2 linked regions of the Neodiprion lecontei genome follow. The protein of the gene in region 2 binds, or shares a complex with, the protein of the main gene of each other region. Links are inferred from orthologs where the notes say so. Each region holds a gene or a part of one and is shown on either strand. Other genes may lie near its edges. The genes, in order: transcription initiation factor TFIID subunit 9 and transcription initiation factor TFIID subunit 6.

Evidence for each region.
Region 1: the proteins of transcription initiation factor TFIID subunit 6 (region 2) and transcription initiation factor TFIID subunit 9 are in contact, whole or in part, in a crystal structure (PDB 1TAF), measured with the Drosophila melanogaster proteins. The link is inferred for Neodiprion lecontei from reciprocal best matches to the Drosophila melanogaster genes Taf6 and Taf9. Residues at the interface, in NP_524161.2 of Drosophila melanogaster: Gly18, Ser19, Ser20, Ile21, Ser22, Glu24, Ser25, Met26, Ile29, Ala30, Ile33, Val35, Ser37, Leu38, Ser39, Asp41, Ala42, Glu45, Leu46, Asp49, Val50, Ser51, Lys53, Leu54, Lys55, Ile57, Val58, Gln59, Ala62, Gln71; in NP_523391.3 of Drosophila melanogaster: Lys20, Asp21, Val24, Ile25, Ser27, Ile28, Leu29, Glu31, Leu32, Val34, Glu36, Tyr37, Glu38, Arg40, Val41, Gln44, Leu45, Phe48, Thr49, Phe50, Tyr52, Val53, Thr54, Ile56, Leu57, Asp58, Lys61, Thr71, Ile72, Asp73.

What each region holds. Positions count from the first base shown.
Region 1 is NC_060262.1:4,423,479-4,433,041, reverse strand, and holds transcription initiation factor TFIID subunit 9, read right to left. Parts: upstream 4,473-9,563; 5' UTR 4,312-4,472; coding exon 4,173-4,311; intron 4,092-4,172; coding exon 3,642-4,091; intron 2,826-3,641; coding exon 2,677-2,825; 3' UTR 2,546-2,676; downstream 1-2,545. Other genes in the region: phospholipase A1 VesT1.02, read right to left, coding at 1-162, 724-872, 948-1,122, 1,263-1,305; 26S proteasome non-ATPase regulatory subunit 1, read left to right, coding at 5,145-5,163, 5,382-5,499, 5,624-5,793, 6,647-6,855, 6,939-7,397, 7,646-7,872, 8,199-8,451, 8,915-9,103. UniProt on the Drosophila melanogaster protein: TFIID is a multimeric protein complex that plays a central role in mediating promoter responses to various activators and repressors.
Region 2 is NC_060264.1:21,660,223-21,669,917, forward strand, and holds the start of transcription initiation factor TFIID subunit 6, read right to left. Parts: upstream 5,651-9,695; 5' UTR 5,514-5,650; coding exon 5,364-5,513; intron 4,044-5,363; coding exon 3,731-4,043; intron 3,642-3,730; coding exon 3,238-3,641; intron 3,011-3,237; coding exon 2,792-3,010; intron 2,729-2,791; coding exon 2,546-2,728; intron 2,478-2,545; coding exon 2,255-2,477; intron 1,013-2,254; coding exon 711-1,012; intron 240-710; exon of another isoform or gene 182-239; coding exon 89-181; 3' UTR 1-88. UniProt on the Drosophila melanogaster protein: TFIID is a multimeric protein complex that plays a central role in mediating promoter responses to various activators and repressors.

The sequences.
Region 1 (9,563 bases), on a different chromosome or scaffold from region 2:
TCGATGCTACGTTGAGGCCGGCGTTGGCGCTGAGGAAGTTGATCATCAGACTAACTCTGGCGGCAACACCTCTGACGCTTGATGAAGCACTCACGTAAAGAGCACCAGCAATGGAACTCCAATCGATCACAATCACGTTGTAGTCGCCTTCAGCTAGGTAGGCTGAGGATAAAAACGAGGAGATATGAACACAAATATGAACACAGGACTCAACGATGTGAAGTCAAATTACGTCTTAGAAAAAACAATTTTCCTGTAATTCTTACAACCGGTGTGAACTTAGCATCCCCATCATCTCTATGTCAAAAACATGCTACAATTCTATTCACATCCAGATTAGTTCTATATTTCCTGATAAGTTTCAATAAAATTTCTGTTAATTTACCCTAAAAAAAGGGTGCATAAAGGATGATACGCTAACTTTGCGCTGTATCTTACAGCGTCTAAGCGAATTTCAATTATTCCAGCTGAATGGAATATTTTTTTTTTTTCACCCGTTTTTGGACAGCAGAGGATTCATCTGATAAATGTTCCATTCAGCTGGGATGATCGAAATCCGCTTAGATGCTGTAAGATACAACGCCAAGTTAATATTTCATTCCTTGTTCAGCCCTTTCTTAGGGGTAAATCAACAGATCTCTTATTGAAATGTATCAAGAACTACTCTGGATTCTAATATAACTACAGTTTATTTTTGATAATAAGTTTGCACCGGTTTCTTACCATCGCGGATGGTAATGCAGGCGTCTGAATTCTGGTTCGACCTCCATCCATGAGTGATAAATCGAGTCGGGCGAGAACTGCTCCAGTTACTACCACTGACGCTAGATACGGAGTTGAGAACTAAGAGCTGAGAATTCCTGGGGTTGTTACTGTGCAAAGAGAAGACTGTAATTAGCTTGAGCTGGTCAGACGGCGCTTAAAAGTCAACAGAACTCTATTCTCACCGAGTAAAAAGATTGAATGTTATGGTTTCGACATTGCGAGAAAGGATGGAATCACTCGAATCAAAACCAGTCAGATCTTCACCCTTTTCCAGCAGGTCGATCAGTTGAGGAACTCCGTCTCCGTCAGGGAAATACATGTAGTCATGCTCAGGTTCAATCACCTCCCCAGCGTAAACTGCATTATTTTGATCAAATAATTAATTTTCGATGTAAACCAAGTGCCTCGAAATTGTTGGAAATGGTATGATGAAATAAATTCACGGCACTGTGAATCGATAATCGAGAAAAATCAAGTAATATTGAATGGTATCGTACCTGAGGCAGTAATCGCAAGAACAGCTATGAGCAGTAGCTTCATTTTTGCAACAAAAACTTGAATTGCCCTGTTATTCGCAGAATACTGTACTTATAGTGCCAGCAATTATCGATTCGTGATTGATAATCAAAACAGATTTAAATCTGAGTTTCAATCCCCTTGTGGTTATTGATTAAGGCTCAATTACAACGTTCTTTCATCTAATCTAAAATGTGATAAAATCTAAACATTTGATCTAGCCCATTTTGGTATTTTTGATTTAAAACAAACAAGATTATTATCTGGATGACAGTATTTATAGTAGTATACTGTATATATTCGGCTACTGATAAAACTTGTCAATCTACTCAGTTAGTTTTTGTAGTGTGTATATCGTTGCAACTAACTGAGATATTATCCTTATACAGTAGTGGTCGTAATTTTATTATCTAACAAAGCCAAAGTGCTGAATTGATCACGCCATTCGCCACTGTTAAATCCATCAATCAATTTTAATCCGTACAATTTTTTCGCATATTGTTACATCCTGTTTGTTGGCTTGATTGCTAAACTGGGATTTCTACTTCTTTAATTAATCAACTCAAACATGTTCAGTTTGACGACTTTTAATTAAACAATAAAAGTATTAAGAATTACAAGTCTATTACTGTGAAAGAATGTGTAATACTTCTTCAGGTGCAATACCAATGTCAGTATGCAGATGCAGAAATCTGTTGCAGATCAATTTTATAAATTTTTAGGAGACAATGGTTTCTAGCGACTCCATTCCAAAGTCAACTTTCTTTGTATTCTGGGACACAATATCAATCTATAGGTCAATCTTAGAGCTTTTTAGAAAAGCAAAACACCTTTCAAAAACAGCTGGTGGTTTTTTTCAACGAGTTTTACGATTGATTGATTATCTGGTACCACCCATGACCCATACTCCAGATTTCAAATGATAACTACTTTACATTTGTTGAAAACAAAGCATTACATTAACTGCCAACGTGATTCCGATCGTATGATGTTTCTTATCGATGTATCTCAAGTTTCATTTGTAAATACAATTAAAGATAGGAATAATGATCAATATTCATTGTAAACTTTAGCACGGTGATAATTGTATATTCGGCCAGATGCTGACTATTCGTACCAAACAGACAAAGACAGACTAGAAATTAAACTAAAAATGATTTAGGTAAATGTTGGTTCATTTTTTTAAATGGTGGATAATTTGATTGAAAGAAAACTGTGAACGTAAGTGGGAGTGAATAATAGCTAAATTGCCTATAACATTGAGTAACTGTGATAAATACTGTATTTATTATCAGAACGATTAGGGAATCAGAAGTGTTGATTTGGGGTGCACAGACCATTGTTATAAAATAATATTATTCATATGACGCGGGTACATTTTTTTTTTTTAGTTAGTCAGGCAATATCGTAGTCTTCTTCTTCTCTTTTTCTCTTCGACGAATCATCAGTTTCCATTTTTATTACAGACACAGGTTGACTTGATGAAATTTGAATCTTTGGCTTTCCAACAGCCGGTTTTCCTCCTGGAGCTCCAGCTCCAGCACCTGCCGAAATGTTTTTATCGCATGTTAGTATCAGCAGATAATAATGATGTATACAATATAGTTGAACAATCTTCAAAGATTAAATTCATTGACCGAAGATGCTTCTAAATTCATAAATTTAATTTCCAGTAAAAATATGTTCTCTAAATTTTGATTTACTCGCTTCACATTCCAAGAGTTTATTAATCAGTGGATAATTATCAACACTTCAATGCATAGAACAATTACTGTATTAATACTTTATCACGTTGAAGTTAGTGACGTTATTGTAAACTATGCATGTTAAGGAAAACCGTTATTTCGCTAATCTCGAATTGTCTGAAATTCAATAAAACGTATAATAAGCTAGACATGCTGATATTTTGATAATTTAACTTTTACAGTCATTTTAAAATTGGAAAATGGTGAAATTTTTTTTGTACAATGTTTCGTTAAGATATCGTTACTAACTTTAACCCCGTAATACTTTTTCATTTGTAAAAGGCTCAATCACTACAATTTTATATTCATTTACTGTTGAAGAATCATTTGCTAGTATTTTTCCTGAAAGTCTTTACAATCATTGAAGGAAGTTCCGAATGAGACTAGATAGATCGATCAACTCTACTGATATGCATGTGAAACTTGAGATAAATTCTCATATGGAAGGTAAAGAACAGAAATATTGGCAAGTAGGATGGGGTATTGGGGATGGAAAATTTATCGAGTATCTGCGAAATGATAAGTATTTAAATTATTAGTATGAATAGAATAGGAATGAAAATAATCTACTAATCCAATTTCCTCTACAAAAAAAGAAAACCTCTTTATATTTACCGGTGGTGAATTTGAACACAGGTTTTGGAATTGTTATAGCTTGGGTTCGGGCAACAGTAGCGAGAGTGCCAGGCCTCTTGACGATGGACAATCCAGTTTTGTTCGGTTCGATCTTGATCCTGGGTTGACCTCCGCTAAAATTATTTCCAACTATGGCGTGTAACGGCTTACCAACGATCTTTTTGGTAGCGTTTTTCAGCTTATAGTTTGTGGCATTGAGGCAGTAACGATCGGGCGGAAGGCGCAGGCCATTGTTTGGCTTAACAAATGGCAACGGAATATTGTTCTTTGCTCTGGCTACATCCAGTAGTACATCTCTGGGAGGCGGATTGGTGAACGAACGTTCTAACTGCATTTTTACAGCGAGTCTAACATCGTCTAAGTCAATGAACTTCTTCTTCGCATGGTTAGCATATATCCTGCTGTCGTCCAGTATACAGGTTACGTAACCTGAGAACAATTGTACGTAAAATTGTAATTCATTTTAATGAAACGATGAAAACAACGCGATACAAGAGAGGATATACTCACGATAAGTGAATTCGAGGAGTTGATTTATAACCTTTGGCTCGTAGTCAGTGATGCCCATGTCTTTCATTATTGACATTATAACTTGCGCGTCTTTCGGTACATGTTTAATCTGGCTCATTGATTTCGGTTTATCTGCCATATTTCGTGTTCTTCCTTCGACTTTAAATTCATAAAATATCAAACTTGGTCGCTGTTTCTAAATTAGGTTAACTGACCCTGTCGAACCATTAATACAAAAACATTGTGTTTTCTCTGAAGTAGGCTAGTTTTTGGAAAGGTGGATTTTGATGGAACTGCGGAAAACTCGATAGTAGTTCGATATTTTTAAATTCGATACCTCGATATTCGTTTGTCTTCCCGTTTTGATTACTGTTGTTCAGCACTATTACGGCATAGTTCAGTGGACTTAAATGAAAACTAAATTAGCTCAAGCGACCCTTTCAACCTTTCTGTGGTCATAAATACTATATAAATACAAAAACATTCAGTTTGATATGAAGTTGGCTTGTTTTTGAAAAGGTGTATTTTGATGGTAGACTGCGTAAAAACTCGAGACCAGTTCCATATTTTAAAATTCAATACCTCGATATTCGTTCGTTCTACCGTTTTGATTGCGGCTGTTCACCGCTATTACGGATTAACGGCATAGTTCAATGGACTGGAATGAAAACTAAATTAGGTCAAGTGACTCTGTCACCCTTTCTATAATCATAAATAACGTATAAATACATAAAAATTGAGTTTTATATCGGGTTGGCTGCTTTTTGGAAAGGTGGATTTTGATGTTGAGACTGCGGGAAATTCCAGAGCTGTTCGATATTTTGAAATACGATACCTCGACACTCGCTTGTTACCATTGCGGATGATTACGGATTTGCGGCATAGTTCAGTAGACTTGATCCGCGTCAAGTCGTTGTACGTTTTTCGTCTCCTGAACAATTGCGTTAAATCGTAAGATTCACCTAAAACAACATGAACATCACGTCAGCAGGTGAATAAAACGGTTTTTCGTTATTCCGGCAACGAAAATTTTCAATTGTCGACAAAAATACAGGACATTGAAGTTTTTCGAAAGCCGGCTACGCTCGTGTGCAAGTCACTGTTTTCAGTCATGACATGATTTGCAAGCCTTGTCATACCTAACCTATAATATATGGATAAAAATATGTTGACAACACTCGATTTTCATTGTTCATATTTATTTTCCAGCGGGAATAATTTCCCTACTGGAAGAGCCGATGCCTGAGCTGAAAGTGTTCGCTCTGAAAAAACTAGATCTCATTGTGGACGAATTTTGGCCAGAGATATCCGAGGCGATTGAAAAAATGTACGTGTCACAATACTTATTTATTTGTACAAATCTGTATGTGTGTTACTTGAGTTGTCTTTTAAGATTAAGAAGCAAAATTGCTATAATAATAATCATGAGGCGTCGTTTAACTTATCTACAGCGAAATATTGCACGAAGACAAGGGATTTAATCAGCATGAGCTGGCAGCGCTCGTAGCCAGCAAGGTTTACTACCACCTTGGAAGTTTCGAGGATTCTCTGACTTATGCTCTTGGCGCTGGCGAGCTATTCGACGTTAACGCTCGCAATGAGTATGTCGACACAACGATCGGTGAGTTGAAACTAGTCCAAATTGCTGCTACTGGTTTGTTCTGGATCAATTAGTCTAGCCAATAGAGAATTTCACTTTAACTATTAATGCTAGTCATAAAATTGTATTGAAAACTATCGTTTTATGGACTTGAATTACAGATGCGAGAAGTCCACCCGAAAATTTGTTTATTCAAATTAATTCTAAATCAAGGTCTTTGACCTGTGACTCCTATAATTGAACTTGTCATTTTTTTTTTTTTGATAACCGACGACGCCATTTGAAAAAACTGTTTTTTTTTACACAAAAAGATATAGGACGCGAATTCCTACACATCAAAACTCATGTATCTATAATTTATTCCATTATTAATTTATTAATCATGGTACGAGAATTTGAAATTTACCTGTTTTTCAACATCTATAACTATTAGAAAAAATTATCATTTTGAGTCACGTTTTCTGAAGGTTGTACAGGAAAGTCAAATCTTTGTAAATACGATTTGGTTAAATTTTCTGCAGTAAAAATCATCAATTTTTGCCCAGTAATCAACAGTTTTTTGCTTCAAATAAGTGGAATCTATGTTAACGTTTTTCTCAACAGATGCAAATATCCAGAATGATATTTGAGAATATGTTTTAAATGAAATGTAACCAATATATGCCGTGACTTTAGTATAGCTATGTGTCTTTGGGCAGTAGAGAGAGGGAAATGGTTTTCCTTTTTTTGATACTAAACATTTGCTAAGAAGGTTTGTAAAAATCGCTTCACGATTTATGATTTCCTTTTATCTCACGTGATTTTCGTCTCTATTGACTGGACTAAATAAAGGTCTTATCAAATTAATACATTAAAACAAATTTTCTTTTTCCAGCCAAGTGCATTGACTTTTATACTCAGCAGCGTATTCACGAAGTTGAAGGAAAGTCTGCAGTATCTAGCAAGGCCATTGATCCGCGTTTGGAGGGAATCGTGAATCGGATGTTTCAGCGATGTTTGGACGACGGTCAGTACCGCCAGGCGCTAGGTCTTGCTCTGGAGACTCGCAGGATGGACATTTTTGAAGCTGCTATCATGCAATCTGTAAGTATTTATGAAAGAATGTTACGAAAATCTTTGAGTGCCGCGTTTGAACGCCAGATTAGTTTCTTTTCTTACATTTCTAGGACGACGTTGCGGGCATGCTGTCCTACGCTTTTCAAGTCGCTATGAGCCTCATTCAGAATCGGGGATTCCGCAACACGGTGCTCAGGTGTCTCGTGAGCCTCTATCGGAACCTGGGAACTCCCGACTACGTCAACATGTGTCAGTGTTTGATCTTTCTTGACGATCCGCTAGCTGTTGCCGAACTTCTTGATAGATTGAGCAAAGGTTCACAGGAGTTTTCATTGATGGCTTATCAGATCGCGTTCGATCTATATGAATCTGCGACTCAGCAATTCCTTGGACGTGTTCTTCAGGCGTTAAGAGCAACTGCCCCGATTCCTGCTGCGCTTATGGTCAAACCTATTATAAAACCTGCCGTTAAAGCTACTGCCGAAATACCGGCCGATTCTCCGGCTACCGAGACCGAACCAAATGGGATTACTGCTGACGAAACTCCTCAGCGCAGCATAGAAAGTTTGGTAAGTCCAACCGAGGTCTTGCTATACATTTATGACGGTAAAGTTGTGTAATAGATGTTCAGGATTTCAAGAAATCTTAAAAAATTTGAATAATTATTTGATTGTTAAAGTAGTTGAGTTACTGTCGTACATCAAATTTCAAAGTAGTTAATCATCTGCTGTTTTAAAACCCAGTTTTGAGCGAGTATGGTTTAAAATCTGCTATTCAAATGTTGGTCACACTACAAATTTGTTTTTACATTACTCAGAGTGCCCAGGAGCGGGAGCAGCAGGAGCGTGTGGATGCGCTGTCGAGTATTTTGGGCGGTGAGGTGTCGATAGATTTGCATCTACAATTTTTAATTCGCAGCAATCATACCGATATGCTGATTCTCAAGAACACGAAAGACGCTATACGCGTGTCGATTTGCCACACTGCGACCGTGATAGCGAATGCCTTCATGCACTCCGGCACGACAAGCGATCAATTCCTTCGGTAAGTGAATTTCCATAAATAATCTACGAATAACATAGGATGGATGTGATCAATCGCTGGACAAAATTGAAGTGTGTAACGTTAGCTTAGCAAAACCTTAAGAAAAATCTCATTAATTTTCAATTTCAATGTACCTATGAAGAAGTTAATTTTGAGTAGGAGTATTTCTTCATTTTCAATGGTTGACGCAAAATTACGCAATTTTAAAATTGTGAGGTAAAAAGTTTTCCCATAGTTGAATTTTCACGTTAACGATACTAACTTCAACCTCACACTTTTGGTTGCAACTCTCACCTGAAGTTTCTGACTTGCTTACTCGTTTTCAGTGACAACTTGGAGTGGTTGGCTCGCGCCACAAATTGGGCCAAGTTAACAGCCACGGCGTCATTGGGTGTTATACACAGAGGCCATGAACAGGAAGCTCTGGCTTTGATGCAGTCTTATTTACCACGTGAGACTGGCGCCGGTGCCGGATATTCGGAAGGAGGTGGTCTCTACGCGTTGGGATTAATTCACGCCAACCATGGAGCAACCATCACCGATTATCTCCTCGGCCAGCTGAAGGATGCACAAAATGAAGTAAGATTTTTGTTCAAATGACTAACTAGTCATATTATCATAGGGTTTTAAATTTCTTAGCTGAATTTGTAAAAATTTCAGCATATAAAACTGACAAAAAATACTGCAATGACCGCGATAAAAATGTTCGTTTTGATTTGAAAACCAGGCTTATATGAATAAATGCTAATTTATTGCAATGTTTATTTATATTTTCGAGCTTTTTACCTGAATTTTAAATGAATCGACGTTTTTAGTTTAGAAATATGGGTTATTTGTGTTCTCACATTATATTCTATTACCAATAGGTAAATTCTTTTTACCAAGACGAAGGCTAAGAATCAGTTCTAATTGATTCTATTCACACATTTACACGTATAATATCCGTTACATAATTCTTTTTCAAGAATAATCCACCACTCTAATGTACAAGTGCAAGAAACGAGAGTTCTGTGAATCTAACGAATTGTACTTTATTGCAAAGATGGTGCGTCACGGCGGCTGCCTTGGACTTGGACTTGCGGCGATGGGTTCCCACAGACAAGACGTCTACGAACAGCTTAAGTTCAACCTGTATCAAGACGACGCTGTGACTGGCGAAGCTGCTGGTATCGCCATGGGGATGGTTATGCTTGGCTCAAAGTCTACTCAGGCTATCCACGACATGGTGGTGGTGAGTGGTCGAGCAATAACTCTATATTATTGGAACCGAGGGTAAAATTTAATCAGGATGGATTGGAATGAATTTTAATCTTTGTGAAATGCTTCAGAGAACATTCAACAAATACGTTAAATTTTTTGGACGATTTTAGACAGCCGTACCTTGTCCCCCGTTTGGTCTATAGATTCATAACTCGATTCATTTCTAAGTTTGTCCATAATGAAACATATACGAGGTATTCGAGGTATACGAGGTAGAAACTTTTACGCGTAATCTTCTTTCATAATGTCAATACGAAGCTAAATTCTGTTTACATCCGTTTTGACGTTTGCCCAAAATTTTGCTCATCTCGAGTAATGATCAATCCACCGAACTCCTAATCAATTTATTCGATTTTTTTTTTATTATGCTCCTTGTGTTTAGGAACAAACAGATCGAGTTTGACATTAACAAAAACTTTGAGTTCATTTTC
Region 2 (9,695 bases):
AAAACGTTGTGCTTTGTTCGTTACAATTAGGATTAGAAAAAATATTGGCATATACGTATAAATTTTATTAATAAATATATTATTCAATCTATTGAAAAGCGTGCTCGTCGGTGGGGCTCAGAGATCTTTCGATGCTTTGTTGAGTAACAAAGACTGTCTGTGGTTTAGAAGTAAGACTGGCCTGTAAAAAACAAGAATAAAAAAATATGGTGAATAAATTTTTTCTAATTTAGTTGCGTGAAAAAAAATGAAAACATTCTTATGAAACGACTTGTTTTTAATCCGTTTCGATCTTTCCGTGTTCGACGGGACGGGAAATCGAATTTTCAAACAAAGCATCTGAACACACGATAAAGCAAAGGAAAAAAAAAACAAATAAAATAGATCTCTGAAATTTCGCAATTACTCACTACACTGTGCCTTCGGTCGATAAACTACGCATATACATGTACACGCTGATTTGGTACTATATCGTAAATTTTTCAACGATGAGTTCATAAGTAAAGAACATAACAAAATCGACGTACTTCACAGTTTACCCCCTATGCGCATTAATTTCAGCGATTAAACAGACTGGATGATACTAGTAGCTGATGTCAATTGTGTTTCTAAGTATACAAAAAGAACGCGACTTGATGCAAAAGCACAAAAACGGAAAAAAACCAAGAAGAATGAGGTAGCGATTCGGTGTATAGACTTGATCCATGTACCTGAGACACAGTGGTCGTGGCGTTCTGGTTACTACTAGGCATGCAAACCACCACCAGTTTTGGGGTGCTACCCTGGAGATGTTGCTTTTGTTGATGACTAGAACTATTTTGCGTTATCTTGACCTGCTGCTGTTGCTGCTGTTGGCCTGGTGTTTGTACGACGTTCGGCATCGTCGGTGTCTGCGATCTCGACTGAAGTATGACGAACTTCTGACAGCCGCCCGTCGGCGTTGTTCCACCCCTGCCGGAACCCAGTATCATCGTTCTGCTAGGAGCCTGCTGACCTGGGCTACCCGCGGGCACTGGAATCATAGATCAGCCTCAAATGTAAAGTGAATAAATTTCGGAAGATTGGATATTCGGATCCCAGTAAATTAAAAAAGATTCAATTGTACTAGAAAAAATTTATTTTGGCGTCTGCCAATTCCAAATTATCAAGTAAACGTACTGCATTATGCTGACATCAATCCGATTTAATCGTTCTAGCGTTTTCAATGCGTGTCTACGGATTCGTTTCTTCGCCATTCTGTTATGTTTGAATTACAACGCAATTTCAATTCAATTCAAGCTGTAATACCTAATTTCGTTTCGATCCATTCCTGTTTGATCCTTTCGTACAAAAAAATTCACCGGGAACATTCCAAGTGATTTTATTGTAATTGACACGTAAGAAAGTGGAAACATATCAAATCCCTAGACACATATTCAAAAAAATTGAACGATTAATTCACATTGAGTTTCTTATCATGGATCAATTTTCTTGTGAAACTCGGACCGGAAAATCATCGAAACGAATCGGGTTCAATAAGTTCCAATCCTTTTCTGTCTACCGAGATGTTCAAGAAAAATTTCAACAATTTTCAAATAAGTATTCAGAGTATACACAGTTTCGGACGATTCCAAAACAACAGAAGAAAAGAGCATAACGAATTCGCATTCCCGAAGGTATGTACTTTAGTCAATATCAAATGATCGTTCTGGATCTCTCATAAGATCTGAGGATTTTTTGAAAGGTGTAACATGATTTTGGTGATTCCCGGCAATAGGATTCACGAAACAGGGTTGCTACTGATTTTGAATTGGGGAATTTTTTACTTATTCAGGTTCTCCAGATCCAAAACGGTAATTTTATGGATTATTTTTGTGTCTATAAAAGTTAAAGTAATGAACAACGTAATCTATCTCGAGAAATTATACTTTGGTAATTTGGTCATCGATAGCCGCTCATCGTGATAACAATCATACACCCCGTAACACATTCGACGAAATCCTCAGACTTTTCGTTTCTTTTTAGAGGTAAAACAAAAATCGCCAACCATTTCAGTGTTTTCAACCTACCAAATAGAGACTACCCTGATTTGCGTAATTTATTCTGTTTTGAATCATAGATTCCTAAACTATGAAGATTTCCTAGAATTACTAAGAGTCAGTCAATTGCCACAAGATTTTCAAACATCTCTAAGAAATTCAGCATAACTGGCACAGCATTAATAATATCCTGCGCCATTTCCCTTGCTTCCCAATAGTGAAACATGTTATTTTACCTGATTGAACGAGCGGTTTTGTCACCACAGTGGTTGGTCCCTGTTGCTGGTTTGTGGTGAGAGTGGTGGAGGCCGTTGCGGAGGTGGTAAGAGTTGCAGGTTGGATTCGAGCTTTAGCAACAGCGGCACAAAGCACTGGACCGACGTATCCAAAGTCTTGTTTGTACTCTTCAACGTAATCCGGAGCCGGACGCATGCCTTTCAACACAGGAGCGACAACTTTCTAAAAAAGCCAACACAATCTTAAATCAACTGCGAAGAGAGTTTCGAGCAGTTTAAAAGTTCACTCACAACTAACAGCGTCTTGATATGACCAGCACCGTTTTTATCAATACTGGAAAGTACGGGCCCCTCAATGCAGCTCTCGATCCTCTCAGATATGGATTTTATCTTTGGAATGATCAGCGCCTTGACCACCTCTGGGCCGAGCTCAGAGAGTCCTTCGATCGCCCCGTAGAGCGAGGCCAAGGGCGTCTGAAGATAACAGAAGTGTTAGTTTCCTCTTAGCCGCAGGTAAGGATGTCGATAATTTCTTACCCCGAATTGATTTACCTGACTATTCTTAGCCAGCGCCTGACTAAACATGCGAGTAACTCTGGTCTGCACATTGTTCGTCGACGTGTTGAAGTTCTTGCAGATCTGGGCCATCAGGCGTGATGCAAAATCTCTCAGCGCCCAATGATTGTCCATTTCAGGTCTCATGCATAGCTGCCGAGAGACTATGCACGTCGCTACTGACGGTATCAGCTCGTGCAGCTGAAATTAGTTCTATTGATGTTAAAATAGAGAAATAAAAGCCAGTAAGATTTGAAATAATTCAAGGAACAAATCATCGAGAAAGAAGAGATTGCAGTTATTTCTATAATTTCTTTGACAATTCGTTTAGCCTGGATTTTCGTGATTTTCATGATCTCCTTGAATTCTCAACTATCGTGAAAGCCGCTGCTGCTGTGTTGTGAAATTTTTTGTGGCAAATTACTCACGTATTTCTCTAGATAAAGGCTGGGATTGTCGAGAAGGGCTTTGACCATTCTCATGAGGTAAATGAGAAGTGCGAGATTGTTTTGCACCACATTGACCCTGACGCCTTCGGCGATGAAGGTGCACATTCTGGCAAGCATTTCATGCAAACCAGGATCCGCAGACAAAGATTGCAGGGCCTCAGCTCTACGAGCCTCGTCCGATCCAACGCAGGCCTCGGTTATCTCCTTGTAGTAGAGCTGCTGCTCAACACTGAGCTCGTGGGTAGCAAGCTGCTTTACATGCACCGTCTCAACGTTTCTCAACTTTTGACTCTTTCCTCCTCCTCCCGGCTTACCAATGCCGACACTCTGACCCTTGGCAGTGAGCTTGCTTGTCGGATCAACACTCTCAACCTTTTGCGCGTCTGGAAATTTTTTGAATTTATTTTTCAGATGAACAGCATCATGAAGTGATGAAATATTCGTGAATGACCGATAAGGCTTTTCAATTCACCCTTGGATACAGGAGGTGGATTTTCTGGAATCGTCGGCTGGACGCCATCAATGCAAAGCCAATGGGCTCGCAACGTTACTTCGAGCGGTAGCTTAGGCCACGACTGGCTGTTGGACACTGCTTCGTTCAAGTCTATCTCCTTGTCCTCGACAAAGTGCAATTCTCTACCTCCTCCCGATGCGAATCTGAAGGGGACGTTTTCTCGCGCAAAGAAGCCATATGTCGGCTCGATGTTCTTTATCTTTAATGCATGGTCGATGTCGTGTGCAGTCATCCTCTGACGCTTACTGTGGTGCATGAATTTTGCTGCATCCTGAATAGGTATTTGAGAAGTTAATTTAAGGATGATATGAAAAGTGAACACGAAGGTGGGTGATGAAATTAGTCTATTGTTGGAAGTAGAAAAATCTCTTTTATTATGGCAAATAAATGTGAAATCGACCAAATATGACCAAAGCAACACTAAAACCAGTCGAAATGCATCAAAAAGTAATCAAACATGATGAGCAAACGGATAATGGTGAACCAACACATGTTTAAATAAAACCTGTAAAATAGAACTGGTGGCCAATTTTAATGAAAATACAATTGAAAATAGTGAAATAAAACTATTTATCGGCAAAGGATTTACGTTGAAGGCCGTAATCTGTCCAAAAATAATTTGAAAGAACTAATGAGAGGTAAAAAAATTTGACTAAGATTAGTGTACGTCAAGAGGAGTCAAAGAAACTCAATTAATAGCAGAAAATGATGAAATGTATTCAAGAACATCCTAAACAGACTAACAAATTGTGAAAGAGGGAAAAAATAATGCTTATGCATGGCTACGTATGACTAAATGAAGTAAAAAAAATAGTCAAATCATTATTATAATGTGACTAAACATGGATGAGGGACAATTTTGAAAACAGTTGAAATACAGCTAAACAGTCAGCTATCATTAGTTTGCCATAAATAGATGACAATTAGTTTAGAAATAGCCAAATAAGATTAATTGATGGTCAAAAGTAAAGAAATAAGACCTTTGGTAGGCAAAAACAGCTAGAGAAATTAAATAATGAGCTGAATATTGAAACAGTATTGAAATTATAAATAGTCATAAATAATAAAATAAAAAGCCAAATGTACCCAAAAATAACGTGATTGGAATGCAGAGCATGAAATGTGTATGGTGGTCATGACGACAGAAGGGGGAAATTATTACAAAGAATAAAAATATTTGCTGCGATACAAGAGCTGTACGGCTGTATGCGTATGTGGTGTACGTACACATTCGCAGTTCTTGAATCCCTCCACCATGATGGTAACCTAACCGCGCTTGTGCATCCACAATGTTTACACTGTGAACGCCTTTTCAATACCAATATAATTAGGTAAAATATGACTAATGTGTGACTGAAAACGAATGGAAAAATGTGGCGAACATTCATATACAGTCAAATTTTACATCGACATGGATGAATAAGGACGAAATATGTCCAGAGATGGCGAAATGAGATAAATAAAAATTGAAAAGTAGGCAAACGAGATTAAATATTTCAAAACGTAGCTCAGTGGTGACTTCGGAGAGTTTAAAATTCGTCGAATATATGTAAATTGAGAGGAGAAAACAGAGAATACTACCGCAACTTGCCTGAATGATCTCCTTTAGCCTGTAGCTTACATCCTCGGCGAGATCCTTGGCAGCCTCGTCAGGAAGATTTCCGACCCCAATGCTTTCTGCGATCACTTTCATGGACTCCTGGGACAGAGTCGTCCCGTATATCGAATCGTTGTCATTCATAGTTCATCTGTGATCAATTTATACTTAATTTTTCACAATAACAGCATCGATTTCACAAACATAACCTACAAACGTTTGACAGGCTTCAACTATCGACAAGCTTCACATGATTGTCCACGTTGGCTTGTGGTAGCCACGAAGCTACCGTGAAGTAGTCCACCACTTTAAACGCGGCAAAATAAACAGGCTGGTATCGCCTTTTGGCAGAATCGATTCCATTCATCGATACATCGGAATAAGGATTGAGTTTCGCACAACGGTATGTACATCGATTCTCTTAAAAATACAAATTTGCACGACAAAACGAAAAAGGGAAACTGAAACAGAATTTTAATGAATCCGAAAGTACTACAAGTGGATAATATTCATTGTAATTATCACTGGTCTGCAAGAAAATCTTTTTTTTCCTCCTTCTTATTAGATTAGATGCTCTTGAATAGAAATACAGTAACAAATAATATGAACCACGTATATTTTTCATGTAATTTTTTTTTAATATAACGCTATTTTTGCTTACACATTATAATCAAACACTAATGATAGCAACAATGTTTATAAAAAATGTCATAAAATTAAAATGTTTACGCATTAAAATCGAAAGAAAATCTATCTACTAGTATAATTCTAGTTATTTTGTCATTTTCTTTCACACTAGACAACATTTTAACGTACTGTACGACATGAAGGCACAACGAGAACTGCGCAGACGCATGCATGGTGTGAATAAAACGGCGTTAGGCGATATGTTTCTTTCTCTTTCATCAGTTCGAACTGGTTTGTATCATGTACGAATACTACGAATACTGTTTAAATAGATTAAAGTAGTGCAAATGTAAAAACAAAACACAACAAATTCTTAATTTTAAACAATAAAAAAATCATATCCTGTAATATACATATGCGTGACAGCAGAAAATGGAAAGCAGATATAAATTCGGCACATTAAAATCTTCAAGTCGGAATTTTTTTTTTTTTGACGGAGCAATCCTTTGCAGACCTGTGTTACGAAATAGATGGATTTGTTATGATGGAAGATCCAGATGAATGACTATTATCTGATTCGTAAAATACAAAGAGCTAAAAGTGATCAAATCCATTGAGTTAAAATAATTTATCAAACGAGAAATAAGAAAATGGTGATAAAATTCATTTGCAAAAAATAATCTCACACATAAAATCATTTGTACCATTCGAAATTGTAAGTAATTTTTGGAGATTAATTTACAGAACACATCGTACGTATATTTTTATTTAAAGACATAAAAATAAAGTGTGCTAATATGTATAACAAGATGAACAATTGAGAAATTCTTCACATAGAATATACATAAATCTTATACAATAATAATATTTAGGTTTTGAAAAGTACAAACATTTACTTCCGATGCACTAGCCGTTATCGATTATTCGTTTTCATATGAATCAACGATAACATAGAATTCAAACATTGAATAAAGTTTCAGTGTTGTTATCTGTACGACTCCAGTGCACCTTACGTTTATTTTTGGCAAAAACTCAGTGTATTTTTAACTTTTGACCCAGTTTTAGCTAAGTCTAGGGCTGTCTCGATTTGTACATTGTTGACATGACAGTCTGCTCCGTTTTTTTACTAATATCTTATCAATATCCGTGTTAGTTTTTTACAATACTAGTTTACGACTTGTGATGGTTTCAGCATTAACGAAACCACTTACATCAGTTATCTCGGCTTGCATAATTTAGCAAATAATCAACAATTTTCACGCAGCCTTTTAGAACAACAATATGAAATATTGGCTAGTGTGGTGGTTTGAATTTGAGGGGCAACGGTGGTTGTCACGATAGAAAGATTGTCGTGCCGCGGTTGTATGGATCGACCACCAGAGGGCAGGGCTCGCGCGAATACCGCTCGCGTACTCTGTCGCGTAAGTCCGAACTCCGAGGAAAGGCAGTTAGATCCGGAGAATCGCTGAAGTCGGTTCGGCGAAAGTTTAAGTGTGTGCGTTGACCGAGGGCATATGTATAAAGATTGATAACGCTGGGTTATTGTGCGTAACAGTTTGCTGGGTTTGGGGGTATTAGCAGTTTCACGTTTCATCAACCAGGCAGCTGACGACGTCGGTAACAGAAATTCTTCATAACTAACAACTATCGCGTGCAAAACGTTGGTAACATACCGTCGTCATAGTGAAATTGAAAAGCTGAGAAAATCCCTTTCAAGTAATATCCGTAATTGGTCCGAGCATTCATACTTCGTTTGACGTCGCACATTGTTACGGCAATGTTCTACACATTTGATCGCGTTGTGCGCAGCTTAGGCGGTGTTTTCATTCGGCCGCTGAGACCATAGAGATGTATAAAATAGAGCGTAAGCAACGGTGTAAGCGTCCCGTGAACGGATTCGAATCGGTTCTCTAAAGGACAGGATAATAATTCTACAGAGGAGAAAAACAGATAGGCAGGCGCGTGCAGCTATCCCCACTCCATGTGAAGAGCGACAGAGAGGGCGGGGAGAATTATTATCCTCCGTTCTTCAGAGAACTGATTTAAGTTTCTTCTGTGCGCCGTACAGCATCAGTCGTTTCCGAGCCATCTGAGTCAAATCGCGTGCTCTCAGTATCGGTTCAACATTCAGACCGCGTTGTTCAGGTGGTGTCACGTTGTTCGATCAGTTTATTTCCACCATACTCATTTGTGAATAATACACGAGGAGCAGCGTGTATCCTGAAGAAAAACCAAGTTATCGAAATAAAAACATCCTACGAACATTGAAGGTGAATTTCGTGTCCGAATTTTCATAGTTTTGTGTAACTTCAGATTTCAGTGACGTCTATATTTGTCTCTATGCGTGGAGTGTCAATTTTATTATTTTTTTGGCTGGTTTTCGGTAAATGCGCAATTGCATTGTTAGCAAGCTTATTCAGTCGGTTCAAACAGACAGCTACAGACCAAAAAGTGAGTGTAGTATCGAGTGCTAGCGTTATTACAGTGCTGATTTTATGGATTACAAGAGATTAGTGAAGATCTGAATTGTGAAAAAAGTGCGTCGCTTCACCAGTAACCCTGAGATGCTACAAGAACTACTATATGTGAAACCGTGGAGCAGTCCAGAGTGGAGGTAACAATACTTATTTTAATTATTGATTGATAATCTAAGGTGGTACATTTAAAGTCGAACTTTTGTTCTTGCACAACATGCAATGCATAAATATGAAACTAGACAACAGTAGTAATTAATTTGGAAACTGGAAGCCAATTTAAAAAATTAATTGAAGTGTTCTATTTTGTTTTTCACAGATTTAAGCAGAGACTTCCGAGTAACTTTTTCATTTTTCGGCAACGTTGGTGAGTTTGCATGTGTTAGGTTACGGGTATTTCCCTGGGATTCCTCTGTCACGTGGCGTGGCGGTAACAATTGTTACACAAATCTTCGATTTCTTAGCTGCATGGATAGGCTCATTCCTAATCGCAACGAGCTTGACTGTATGTCGAATCAGTTTTTTTCTGAATTGAATTTAGCGTAGCTTACTTAAAATTTAAAAATATGCACGTTGCTAAAATTGGAATGAGCATCGCGACAGGTATCCATCTCTTACTCGGCACTCGCGAGATCGAATTGTGTTTCGTAACTGATGTAATAATCTACGTTTGAATTTACCGATGATGCCGTTTAAGTGGTGGGTTCACCTGAGGTTTTGAAAGTATTCAATTATTCACATTACTGTTAAATTGATAAAATTCCAAAGTCTGCCATAACGTAACGTGATCAACTTGCATCTTATATTATATATCATTTTCAATCTTTTAACATCCAACAAGTATTGATCAACTTGCATCTTATATTATATATCATTTTCAATCTTTTAACATCCAACAAGTATTGATCAACTGCAGGCTTAGCTCGCTTAGAAAAATGCTAATTGGCATTCAGGATGTTTTTAATCAATTTTACAAAAGGTTAATGTACCGATAGTCTGCCAGCATTTACTAAAATAATGAATGCAATATTAGGGTTGGCGGGATACAACCGATACTGTATTCTGAGAAGGCAGACTACGATACATGAACATTTTGTTCCCAACAGGTAACCAACGAAAATGTAAGTCGGTGACCACGGCGCAAATGATGAAGAATGATGTGCATTGGAAAAAATGGAGAATCGTTTAGATCGAATATAGGTAACCGGGTAGGTAGGTGGCCGTT